2 linked regions of the Caenorhabditis elegans genome follow. The protein of the gene in region 2 purifies or fractionates together with the protein of the main gene of each other region. This does not show direct contact. Each region holds a gene or a part of one and is shown on either strand. Other genes may lie near its edges.

Region 1 (4,935 bases), on a different chromosome or scaffold from region 2:
GCCGATTTGCCGGAAATTTCAATATTGGCAAATTGCCGGTTTACCGGTTTGCCGGAAATTTCAATTCTGGCAATTTGCCGATTTGCCGGAAATTTTCGTTTCCGGCAATTTGCCGATTTGCTGAAAATTTCAATTCCGATAGTTTGCCGATTTGCCGGAAACTTCAATTCCGACAATTTGCCAATTTGCCGAAAATTTCAACTCCATTAATTTACCGGTTTGCCGGAAATTTCAATTCTGGCAATTTGCCGATTTGCCGGAAATTTTCGTTTCCGGCAATTTGCCGATTTGCTGGAAATTTCAATTCCGATAGTTTGCCGATTTGCCGGAAACTTCAATTCCGACAATTTGCCGATTTGCCGGAAATTTCAATATTGGCAAATTGCCGGTTTACCGGTTTGCCGGAAATTTCAATTCCGACAATTTGCCGAAAATTTCAACTCCATTAATTTACCGATTTTCCAGAAATTTCAATTCTGGCAATTTGCCGATTTGCCGGAAATTTTCGTTTCCGGCAATTTGCCGATTTGCCGACAATTTCAATTCCGACAGTTCGCCAATTTTCCGGAAATTTCAATTCCGACGATTTGTCGATTTGCAGGAAATTTCAATTCCAGCAGTTGGCTGATTTGCCGGAAATTTGATTTCCGACAATTTGCCGATTTACCGGAAATTTCAATTCCGACAATTTGCCGATTTGCCGAAAATTTCAATTCCGGCAATTTGCCGATTTGCCGGAAATTTGATTTCCGACAATTTGCCAATTTGCCGAAAATTTCAATTCCGGCAATATGCCGATTTGCCGGAAATTTCAATTCCGACAATTTGCCAATTTTCCGGGAATTGCAATTCCCACAATTCACCGATTTCCCGGAACTTTCAATTCTGGCAATTCGCCGATTTGCCAGAAATTTAATTTCGGCAATTTGCCGATTTGCCGGAAGTTTCGACGTATTTTTTTTTACACAAAAAAACGTGCAATTTTACGAATCTCCCAAATTTTTTGTTTTTGTTAAAATTTTGGAAAACTTCAATTCTGTGTTTTTAAGAAATTTTGCCTATTCCCTTACCTATAAAGCCAGACAATTTTCGGATCAGGTGTGCCACGTGGCGGTGTGCAATTCAACGTCAGCGACTCTCCTTCCTTCACTCTCAATAGTTTAACATCCCGTTTTGGAAAGTGTTCCAGTGCTGGAAATAATTAATTTTCTCGATAACACGTGGTGTCAGGCTGTCCCATTACGGTTTGATCTAAAAAACGCGGAAATTTTTAGTCCAAAAATTGTGACGTCAGCGAAATCAGTTGATAACCCTGCGTCTCTTCTCCCGCATTTTTTGTAGATCAACGTAGATCAAGCCGAAATGAAACGCTCTGACACCACATTCGATAAAACATATCATTTTCTTTTTTCTTTTTTCTCCCCTTCCCTTTTTATAATAATCAACATGTGGTGGTGGGTGGTCTTGATTAAATCCGTCCCCATTCACTAATTAGCACCTTGGCGAGCTAAAAGGGGGCAAAAAGAGCACTCGAGTGCTCATTGAGCCAAATTCAAAACAAACACATTATTATTATTATTAGCATAATTCTTATTATTTATTGATTGATACTGGAAGTTGTTGAAAAAATGGCTTCAAAACTGAATTTTAATTTTTCCAAATTTTGAAAAGTTTTAAATTTGAATTTCCCACCAAAATTTCTGGCAAAAATTGAGTTAAAATTCCACACCAAATTTCGTTAGAAACTAAAAAATTGAATTTTAACTTCCCGCAGAATTTTTTTTAATATTCAAATTTTAACATTCTCAGGGCATTTTCCATGCTGAAAATAATCCAATGTGTTCTGGAAAAATTAACGTTTTTTATTCCTATTTTTTTATGCGCCAAAATAATTTTTTCACAAAATTGTTCAAAAAATAAAATTCGACTTTCCCACCAGTATTTTAAAATTCTAAAAATCATCTAAAAACTAACATCCAAGCCTCAAATGCATTTTGTTCGAAAGTGCTGTTCCAAATATATTCGATGCGAAACATTGATAATATCTGCAATATTTTTTGGTTTTTTTTTCCAAAAATCTGAATTTCTCACCCTTGATGACTAGCATGAGGTTTTGTAAAAACAATTGATCCAGATTGACTTTCTTTTTCCCAAAGAACATCTTCGGAATCAATGACGAATGGCTCACCGTCTTTGAGCCAGGAGTATCTGGAAATAGAGTTGATAAATGCCTGCCTACATACCTACCTAATTACCTGCCCTAAATAGCTACCTACGTGCCTGCCTACCTTCGAGGTGACCTTTGCCTGTCTTGTGCCTACAACCAAAAAACACATACTTTTATTGCAGAAATAGTTTATTTATATAGGCATAAATGTCTACCTGCCTACCACATGGGAGGCCTACACCTGCCTCATGTCTTTCGGTAGGCGCCTGGCAGGCGACGGTTTTTCGCAAACTTTTCACAGCTATTTTAAAAAATGCTCTCGAATTCTCTCAAAAATTTTCATCAAATTCTCAACAAAAAAAACAAGATTTCTCAGTTTCAGACATGAAGGCACGTAGGCACGCTATTTTAAAAATGTATACCTATAGGCAGGGCCTACAATATACAGGCGCCCAGACATAAGCTGCATAGTGCGAAGTACCTTCAACCAAACCAAAAACTCAACTAAAAAAACCGAAAAAGTTAAAAAAAAATAGGCAGTAGGCAGAGCTGGAATTTGTAGTACCTACTATGCCAGTAGGCAAGCAGGCATAAAAATGTATTGTTCACTAGAGGCGTAGGCAAGTAAACACGAGGTTGGTGGTGCCTACTAGACACCTGCTAGGCACAGAGGTACAAGGCACGTAGGCAGGTAGGCACCTAGTAGGTGCCTAGGTAGGCTTGCATGTTTTACGCAGCACCTGTCAATCCCAAATTTCCACCCACCTGTCAGTATTCTCATCTGCCTCGCAACGAAGTGTCAACCTGTTTTTGAGGAGATCCTCATCATCTAAATGATACCACACCTCTTCGCCTGATTGTTCTAGAAGCTTCGGGGGACCTGGAGTTCACAGTTTCAGACATTTTAAAGTTACAAAACTCTTACCAATACTATTTTTTTGTGCAGCAAATACCTGAGTTATTAGAAGAAACTGTGCAATAACTAAACGCATTGTTGGAAAAATCCAAAAAAAAAGTCTGCTACCAAAAATCTACCGACGTCTCAGGATATGATGCATTATAGGCAGGCAGTCTAAAATGTTCGAAATTAATCAAATAACGAAAAAGGAGGCGGAGTCACGGGGCGGGGGTATGATTATGGAGTGTCCGCGGGGCGAATGTCAATGAGATGCAAATCATTGACAGAAATTGGAGCCCGTCTGGTATTTGGGAAACGGGGGGTGAAGAGGGGGGAATGGCATGGTGCATGAGGGTGATCGAATATTGGAGAAAATGGTGAACACTCTGTAAGCACGTGGAGTCAGAAAGTCCCATTTCGTTTTGATCTTCGAAAAATGCGGGAGCTGAGACGCAGACATCTCATCTGATTTTGCACTGCTGTGCTGACGTCACAACTTTTCTGGAAAAATATTCCCGCATTTTTTGTAGATTAAGCTGTAATGAGACAGCCTGACACCACGTATTTAAGTAGTCTTTAGAAATGCTCCTGGAGCGGATTTTTCTTAAAATCTTTGATTAATCTAGGGCACGTGGTGCCAGGCTGTCCCATTACGGTTTGATCTACAAAAAATGCGGGAGTTTTTTGCCCTGAAAATGTGACGTCAGCAAGTTCTTGAGAACTCTGCGTCTCTTCTCCCGCATTTTTTGTAGATCAACGTAGATCAAGCCGAAATGAGGGATATATTTTTTATTTTTTGAAATTTTAAGAATACTCTTTTTTTAGGGTCCTCCTAAATTAAGAAAAAGAGAAAATTTCCAGTTGAAAATTTCCAGAATTTTCGCTCTAAAAATACAGTCCCTGGTCTCGAAACGATGTAGTTTCGAAATTTGCCAATTTTTATAGTTTCTCAAGCAAAAATATGTTTATTCATTTAAAAACTTAAATATTATAGAAAATAAAAAATCATGTGAAAAACTATGCATGAAAACTCGAAAAGAAAAATTGAAACTACAGTACTTTGTAAAGGCGCACACCTTCTTGCATGTAATAAAAAAAATATCAAAAATTGTCGCTTCGAGACCCGAGGTACTGTAGTTTTGAAGGGAAAATCGCTAAATTTTGTGTCTGGGTGATAGTTTTGAATTTTTTTGGAACTTTTATTTTCTGAATTTTTTTTCACACTTTTAGACCCCGTAAATCTACACCAACACTTAAAAAAAATTTTAAGCTTGACTAAAAAATTTCCGATCCCAAAAACCTTTTCAAAATAATCAAAAATCTACAAAAAAAACTGCTCTCGATCGGAAAAACGTCGTTTCGGAATAATAAAAAATAAAGTATTTTCGGTAATTTTTTCAGAAAAATCAAAACAAAAAGTACAAAGTAAACAGAAAAACATCGCCTGCAGTGGCTCCGATATTTTTTTGGTCCCAGAAGTCACAGAAATTGCACAAGAAAAAATCTTGTCTTATCCTCGGCGTCATGGACAATCGAGCCAATCAGGAAGTGAGAGAGTAGGGGAGACGAAGAGACGCAGAGACACAGGAGGGGGGCCCTACAGGAAGACGATGACTGGAGATGGCATGGAAAAAGATGAGGCAGACTATCATCTGCTATTCTAGTTTTGAGGAGAGAGGGAACTGATGTTGATGATGGACAATGAAACTATTTTCAAGTGGCGAGTTTTTGGGATTTTGGAAATTTTAGAAAAAAAGATTGCTTTTATTTTTGGAGAGATAAAATTTCGGATAAAAATATACGCATGGTGGGCCAGACTGTCCCATTACGGTTTGATCTACAAAAAATGCGGGAATTTTTGCGCAAAAAT
Region 2 (8,077 bases):
ATTGCTGACAAATATTTTCAGAAACTCCGTTCACTGAAGCTTCACGATCCAAAATGTCAAAGAAGAATTTTAAAATTGGCGGGTAGCTTGAATCGTGCATGTATAGTACGGATTCTAGGAAGTCTTCCACATAAGTTTCTACTGTTCCCTTTGAAGTGAGCAACCTTGTTAGGTACACTTCTGGAATAGATTTGGGTAGCAAATTGCTGTCGTTTGAAGATTTCTTCTTGAAAGTCATAGTTCCAGATGACGGATTTGTTAGGTGATAGTATTTTGAAGATGAATAAATTGGAGAGCATCGATCTAACGATGACCAGGAAGATTGTCCAGAATCTGCGAGAGAATCTGAAATTTTAAGGGTTATATTCAAATTTTGTTTCTTCAATTAACTCACTTCTATAGCTTTCCGCTGTATAAACCGCTGGAGACATTTCCAGCGTACAGCCATCACTGATACCGTAATCTGCCAAAGTGAACAACTTTACTGGTAGCTTTTTCTGCGATAACGTCTCAATTGGCAAAACATCGGTCAGTTTCACATCTCCCCGTTTGGGACATTTATATTCTGAAAAAAAACTGATTGAAGACACATATGGGATTATTTATGACCCACTCAATTCGAACTGCGTTATTCTCGGTCGCTGTGAATATGGTGTTTCACGATAGACAGCTGAAGCAACTTTTTGTTTGACTTGACAAATTGCGTCGCATGCATGAACTTCAAGATCTATTGATTCATCGCATTTTTCAAATGGAATCACACGAATTTTCTGAAAATTAACCAAAAATAGCATATCAATTAGACTTGCTTTCCCTTTTCCTGTGGGATCAACTGTAAACGTTTCAAAACTGAAACAAAGGTATGTTGTTAAAATGAATTATATATTTTCTGATTAATCCAGGTTAAATAACTATGTAAATTTGTTACATCAATTCACAATTTTGTGGAATTTCTACCAAAATTCGTTTCTTCCGATAATAAAATTTAGTAGCCGTTCATAATAACCGTTGATTCTCTCGTAGTCTAGTAAACTTTGAAATAATAGGAAAATATTTTCTCACTATTTCATCTTATATACTACGTTGTTATTTTACTAACCCGGGTATACTCAAATTTACTAGAACTACTTGACTACAAACTACAAGTGCGACATTTGTATTCACTATATTTGGGTAATTATACTTGGAATAAATTATAAAAATGAGTTTTGAACTCGTAGTAAAAAACATCTAGTAAGATACAATAATAAGATACAAAGCGTAGTAAAAAAAATCACCGTAGTAAAAGATACATTGTAAAGTTAAAAATCATCTTTAACCTCTATGAGTTTAAACACTTGTGAAACTTTTTATAAAACCTTGAACATTTGAAAATTTGAAAAAAAGCTCACCAAAGTCTTTGTGTCCACACTCTCCCTTAACAATTTGGCCTCGTTAATCGTATATCTCGCATCACCGGTCACCGCGTCCACGGGTCCTTTGTCAGTTTGATATTGTAGCGCCTTATATAGATAGAAGTACGAGTTCATTTGCGGAGTCAAATGGGAGTACAAACAAATGCTCATCCACTTTGAGAACATTTTCTCCACCACCGAGTCACTATTCCGAAACAGTAACTCGGCGCGCTTATTTTGAACCGATCTTGCGATATGGGCACGTAGAAGGTCCACAACAACTTCAGTGCAATAAGAGAAGTTTCGAAGTAACACAGATATCAGGAGGCTTGCTAACATTGACTTCTCTGATGTTGATATGGAGACATCCGATTCTGCAGCTTCTACGATAGTGAAAATAAAGCCTTTGAAGCTCAGAAGTGCATGAAATTGAGCAAGAGTCACTGGGAGAGTCCTTGCCAAACTCGGCGCAGATGTAAGGTTGTTATCAGACCAGAGCAGGTTCTCCACAAAATGCGGGAAGTTGATGAGTTCCGGTCCAAGGTTCACAGAATTTGCAGACTTTGGAGATAGTACTAGGTTTGTTTGAAGTTCAGCGAATGCTTGCTTGCATTCTTTACGAACATTGTTTTCAAGATTTTCCATTTGAAGCTGAATCTTTCGGTATTCTTTCTCTCGTTCTTGACGCCTCCGCTTGAAAACCAAGCACATCACAGTCAACGTGACAACAATGAACAGAAGTAGCCCAAGAATCAAAAGTGATAGTCTGGACGGGAGTGCATGATCGGAATACTCAATCAACCCAAGCTCCATTCTAAGTGATCCAACTATTACAGTAACCAGCGGGTTATCCCCATTAATTGGAATTCCTCTTTCATCGGTAGCTTTTGGTTGCCTCACCGGTCCCGAGCACACCAATTGCCTAACATCTACAAGTGTCACGTAGCATCTCTCATTTCCAATGAAGATCTTGAAATCATTTGGCTCCGCAGCAAGATTTAGATTGTGTCCTTCAAGAATGAGTGATTGTTCTCCCTGATGATATCGTACTCCTTTGAACGGAGAAAGCGTCGGATTCGGATAGATGCCCATCTGAATTCGTCTTCCCAAATTTGCTACAGCTGTGACATTGTCCATGTGAAAACCCACAGGTTGCCGTGTATACTCAACTCTTCTAGTGATTGTTTCCAAAATTTTTGGAGTCATACAAGTCATTAATGTAGAGTTAATGATGTGACATGGAGCCAGATCAGATATTATATAAAACGGAGGTGTTGGAGATGATATGAGGAATAGCTTTGCTGTTTGAACAGTGTTCAATGAGTTGCCTTGAACATAAACAATTCTTCCGCCGGCTTTGAAAGAAGTCATCGGGAAGATTGAGCTAATAGACGGGTCCGATCGATATTCAAATGGTTGATCGAGTTGAGTCTGGGAGTGATCCACATGAACAACTACTCTAGCAGATTTTCCAATTCGAGTTCCAGAAGGTGTTAGACAAGTCAAAACTGTTGAAGAATTTACCCTTTCAATAGGACACGGCATGCCACCAACTGTCACAGAGGTTTGAGATCCACTTGATAAGTTCTGACCGTACAGAGTTATTCGAGTTCCGCCAGATATTGGGCCATACAGGGGGTAAGCGGAGAATATTGATGTTCTTACAAACGAATATAGTTCCGATGATTCTGCTACTGCAACTGTTGCCCGACCAACTGATATCCTGATTGGGCCCGAGCTGACACCTTTGTCGACTTGACATGCAATCATGTTAGAAACATGATACTCCACAATATTACATCTAGAACCGGCGACATAGATCTTTCCACGAACGTCTTCTACAGACATGCCCAGGTCATTCCCATAGATTTTGATGATTGTGCCTCCTTCGATGGGCCCACTTGTTGGTTCGAACTGAAACATTTTTAAATACAAGATATATACGTATTCATATCATTTTTACTTTATCGATTCTTGGTGGATCACACACAGCAGTGGCCTTTGACTCGTGGCACTCGTGGGAGCACTGTCGATTACACCATCCACATGATAGTGAAGGGGAAAGAGCAAGACAACTGGAACAGTCAGATGCCAGGTTGGTGCAAGAGTAAAGGGACACTGAAAAGCAGTTCAATTAAAGTATGTATTGTAAACTGAATTCACAAATCTCTGGTACTTACCATTAGCAATATCAATTACAGAGTCCCTTGTGATCAGGCTCAACGGAACCACCATGTTTGCACTCGTAGTGTTGCTCAAAGTCAACTGAATCTTGCCACAACGGATACTATCGCTTGCAATCTTTGCAAGAGACACTTGCTCGTTTACTTTACAAAAATGTTCGTGCCTTCGATCAAGAGTATCCAGGTTAGACGCCTCGAGCACGATTTCTTGTTGAGAACCGATAGCAATTGGGAGCCTCATTGGTTGAATTTTCACGCAGGCTTTTGATTTTTCCAATGCCCCACAGGAATTCGAACATTTGTGCAATCCAGAGCACCAGGCACAATTGTACTCAGAGCTCATACAGGACGAGCATGTACCGTAACCCGAGCAATCGTAAACTGTGAAGTTGTGACGGCTGATTGGATTATTGGAAATTGATGTTAGCAACAAAATTTCAAAAGTGTTTGGTGATGTAAAAATTTCCGATGGGCATGAAACTCCGGTCGTTGTCCAGTTAGCTTTGATAGATGATGTTGATGTTCCGAATTGGCATCTATAAGTGAAACCGACTGGAGGTGGAAGATGGTGAATGTTGAAGGATATAGGGGTAGAGGAGTTCACGGAGACTATTGAAGGAATCGGATCACCATCGACAATTGGACACTGAGAAGTCTGAAACGTGTATGCCAAAATAGAACAAAGATAAACTTGCTTACAACTGGACTAGTACACCTTGCTGAAGTCGTACACGATTGCGTCGGATGACACCATTGGCAGAGTGGGTCTACAGAGACTAAGCATTCTGTGCATGAGCTGTGATGAGAGCAAGTGGAAAGCTCTTCTAATATGATCTAAAAAACCAAAATTTGTTCTACATGAAACCCTTTTTTCAAAATAAACTTACTCCATATGGCATCTGCACAATGACAAAATCCCCAAATTTGACCATTTTGCTGACCTCGCTCCCAGTTCGCCCATCTCCAACTTCCTTTCTACCGTACTCTTCCAACTGGTTTGAATGGTGCTCGTCCCATTTAAACTAAAATTGTTTGTAATAGTTTTTTTAAAGATCAGTCCTATGATTTCAAGAAATAATCCCTTTGTGATATGCATTTGATTGACATTTGTTTTCATATACATTTTTGAAGATTAAAGTGTCATTCGAAATGCTGTTTAGGGTCAGCGACAATGATGGATCACAAGCAGTTAGTCGTGTGAATCTAGCTAGCTTTTTTAGTAAAATTTACCATCACAATCTGCGAAGTTGTTGTTCCCGCGAAAATTGCTTTTTGATCTACAGCCATCAATGACGTCACCTTTCCCATAATGTCTTTTGTGGACATCTCAACAAGTTCAATTGATCCACCAACACCGAGCTCACAGCTATCTTCGTCGAGGGGTATGTGGGCTTTCTGAAAAGCGAAATAATTTCTTCATTGAAAAACCTAAAACTTGCATTAACACATTTTGTATCTCTCCCGATATGAGGTAGTCTAATCGAATCAGTACCACTTCTACACCTATCCACATTGTACCAAAAAGTCAGCTTCACTTTTTGCATCGAAAATACACAAATGGAACTTTTTGGAGATGTGGATGATGTTGAGAACGATGCGATCAGCTTGTCGTAGGATTGAATGATTGCGTTCAGAAATGGATAGTTGGTATTGTCCTCTCCGCGGCATTGAAGTTCGATTTCAGAGTAGGATTCAAATCTGAAAATAGGGATATAACTTTTGCTAATTTTTGGCCTAAACACCTACTTTGTGTCATTTCGGCAGAATCGTATCAACCTGGTTGTCATAGGTAATCTTGACTCTCTTGGTGTGACCATGGCGACCACAAACACAAAATGTTGATGCGTAAAGGTGTACAAAAACTTGAATGCATTCTTGTAAGCTGCTCTCAGGAAAACTGCAGCTTCTCCTTCCAGATCACCGGCATTCTCAACATTCAGACCGGGCAAGTTTCGAATTGCAACCGCTGGAAACGGGTCTCGATACGGAGATTCTTTCGTTGCACTTGCCGCAACAATTAAACGATTATCGATGATTTTCGATACTGTGGACGCGTCTGGAGAATTCGCGGCAACTGCGATAGTGGATTCAGTGATGAGAGATAACTTCGAATTGAACGTGGAGCATGACCCGAGCTTTACAGAACCACACTGAAGAATTTGATTTGTGGGAAGGATTTGTAGGATTTTTGTGCGAACATCTGTTGGGAAGGGGCGATTGTCTCTGAAAATAATAATTTGGATAAAGACGTGATGTTGATTAACTAGCTTTAAGCAAGATTTTCCATCTGCAGAGCACCAAGGAGAATCTTGAACCGGACCGAGTGAAACCTCATGTTGTATTGAAAAATTAGAAATTGATAAAGATGTTAGTCGGTTGAGAGATGCCACGTAGATCTGAAAGATTAAAATTACTCAGGTACCAACTATAGGCTTCTGCTTAGGCTTATTAGGCAGGCAGAAATGAGGGCGTGCCTAGCTTTCAAAAATGATAGTTTTCTCAAAATTCTCGAAATTGTGAGATGTCCTACCGTTTGTTGGTCCCTCGAGACAATAAAGTCGTCAATGTGTCCAGAAAAATGAAATAATTTTTGTTTCACGCCTTCTGTTTCAAAGGGCGGCTGGGTTACCGCCCGCAGAAAATGGCTGATTAGGAGAAGAAACACCGATTCGGGGAGCATAATCGCATTTCTGAAAATAAGAAGATTTATGATCATTTCAGAAAAAAAGTAATAGAGAAATTTAAAAGAAGTTTAGCCAATTCAGAAATTTGAAAATAAAGGTACTAATATGCCTGCATGTTTGACTAAAAGGCGATTAACTCCTAACTTCTACCAACTCATCGAAGTAATAAAACGTGACACCAAAAAAGAATTTACTAACCTCAATAGTATTTTGATTAAAAATTTTCATGAAAAACCAAAAATGCAAAAACTAGGTTAATTCATTCCAAAAAAAAATGTAATAAATTTTTCCAACATAAGGAAATACCTGTGTCCAATGTCTCCCCATTCTTCAATAACCACATAACCTATAAATCACTTGAAACGTGAACGAATTCAATGTTTAATTGTAATGCAATACAATACTTGACTGACCATTTCCATCATGATCAATCAAACGAAAAAAAGTGAACCGATGGTCGTCGATGAAGCGAATCGGTTAGACATTTTTTGTGCAGACATTTACAAAATGGTCATTTGTTTGTTACGTTTTGAAGAAGTACATTTGGATTAGTAAATACAATTTATAAATTTCTCATTTTATAGATTGTTTGAACCAAATTCAGAATTAACTAGTAGTGACCAAAATTTTTGTAGTTCTAGTTGTATAAGGCATAGATCACCTTGTAGGCAGGCAGGCAGTTATATTTTTTGAATAGAAGCCGTAGCCTTTTGGAGGTCCGTAGAGAAACATGTAATATTTTAAAAAGAAACGGAAACGTAAAATGAGGGGAAATGAGTAAAAATGACATAAATGTAATCCCCAAATGAGTTTTCGGTCCTATAGGGTCCAAACCAAAAATGGAACATGAAACTGAGAAGCAAAAGAAGATATGAAAAAGAGCACAAGCAAAAAAGAGCAAAAAATGGGATGGACAATGAAAATAGATGGACGGACAAGGGGAAATGTGTCAGGAGGATCCGGAGGGACTGGGTAAGCCGGGTTGGGGGAAAATGAAATAGAAATATGTATGTACATACGAAAAAATCTGAAACTAGATAAATATTCATTAATGATCACTAACTCGGCAGACAGATGTTCAGTTTGTATTTGCGAAAAGTCGGGTAGAGAGCAACCCGCGAATTATGTCAAAGAAAATGATTAATGAGTTTGATTCTAATCGATCACATGGTGAGGACTCCGGAACAGAGTGTGTAAAGTTTATAGTATTGATTATTGAAATAGTGATGGTTATTTGTGGGGCAGTGGGATTTCATTTAAAAAAAAACTCCTTTAGTGCTAATATTTCAGAACGCCTTTACACAACATTTGGCAGTTTTGGGCCATATGGGTCTAGACTAAAATTTCACAAAAATTCAAATAATTGAAATAATTTGGATTATATCTTGAAAAACTGCCGACTGGTACAAAAATAAAAATGCATGCACATTAGGATCATTAGTAGGTGTTCTATATAGACTAAGGAAGCGTATATATATACAGCTAAGCCAAGACAAGGCACAAGCTTATGAGTTAATGAGTTAATGAGCTGCGTGGCAGGTGATGACGGCGGAGCGCAAGAGACAACGGAAGACGGTGTCAAAAACAAACAGAGCGTGTTCTAGGGGTTAAGTAGGTTGTGAACCTATTAACATGAGAGTTTCAAGAAGAACTAAGAACACATGTACATAGGAAGGTTTTGCTCAATTGCCGGAGTTCCCTTATAAACATCGTGTCTGGAACCTAGTAGCGTTGTTTAAATTTTTTAAAAATTAGTTTTGTCTTTCGGTAACTTTCGATTCTTTGTAATTTTTCTACCAGCCGCACAGCCTTATTG

What was found.
Region 1: the proteins of plx-2 (region 2) and lad-2 purify together in Caenorhabditis elegans (affinity purification with western blotting, with the first as the bait; one study listed by BioGRID). This does not show direct contact.

Annotation. Positions count from the first base shown.
Region 1 is NC_003282.8:2,975,240-2,980,174, forward strand, and holds the start of lad-2 (Neuroglian), read right to left. Parts: upstream 3,246-4,935; 5' UTR 3,160-3,245; coding exon 3,093-3,159; intron 3,048-3,092; coding exon 2,933-3,047; intron 2,209-2,932; coding exon 2,092-2,208; intron 2,046-2,091; coding exon 1,975-2,045; intron 1,192-1,974; coding exon 1,071-1,191; intron 1-1,070.
Region 2 is NC_003280.10:14,418,625-14,426,701, forward strand, and holds the start of plx-2 (Plexin-2), read right to left. Parts: upstream 6,268-8,077; 5' UTR 6,258-6,267; coding exon 6,108-6,257; intron 5,974-6,107; coding exon 5,846-5,973; intron 5,801-5,845; coding exon 5,324-5,800; intron 5,276-5,323; coding exon 5,017-5,275; intron 4,973-5,016; coding exon 4,808-4,972; intron 4,600-4,807; coding exon 4,465-4,599; intron 4,412-4,464; coding exon 4,277-4,411; intron 4,233-4,276; coding exon 3,575-4,232; intron 3,513-3,574; coding exon 3,358-3,512; intron 3,309-3,357; coding exon 1,392-3,308; intron 771-1,391; coding exon 614-770; intron 566-613; coding exon 395-565; intron 346-394; coding exon 1-345. UniProt on the Caenorhabditis elegans protein: Involved as a receptor for mab-20/sema-2a in the formation or stabilization of cell-cell contacts at several stages of epithelial morphogenesis. In early embryonic development, required for proper ventral closure of the epidermis.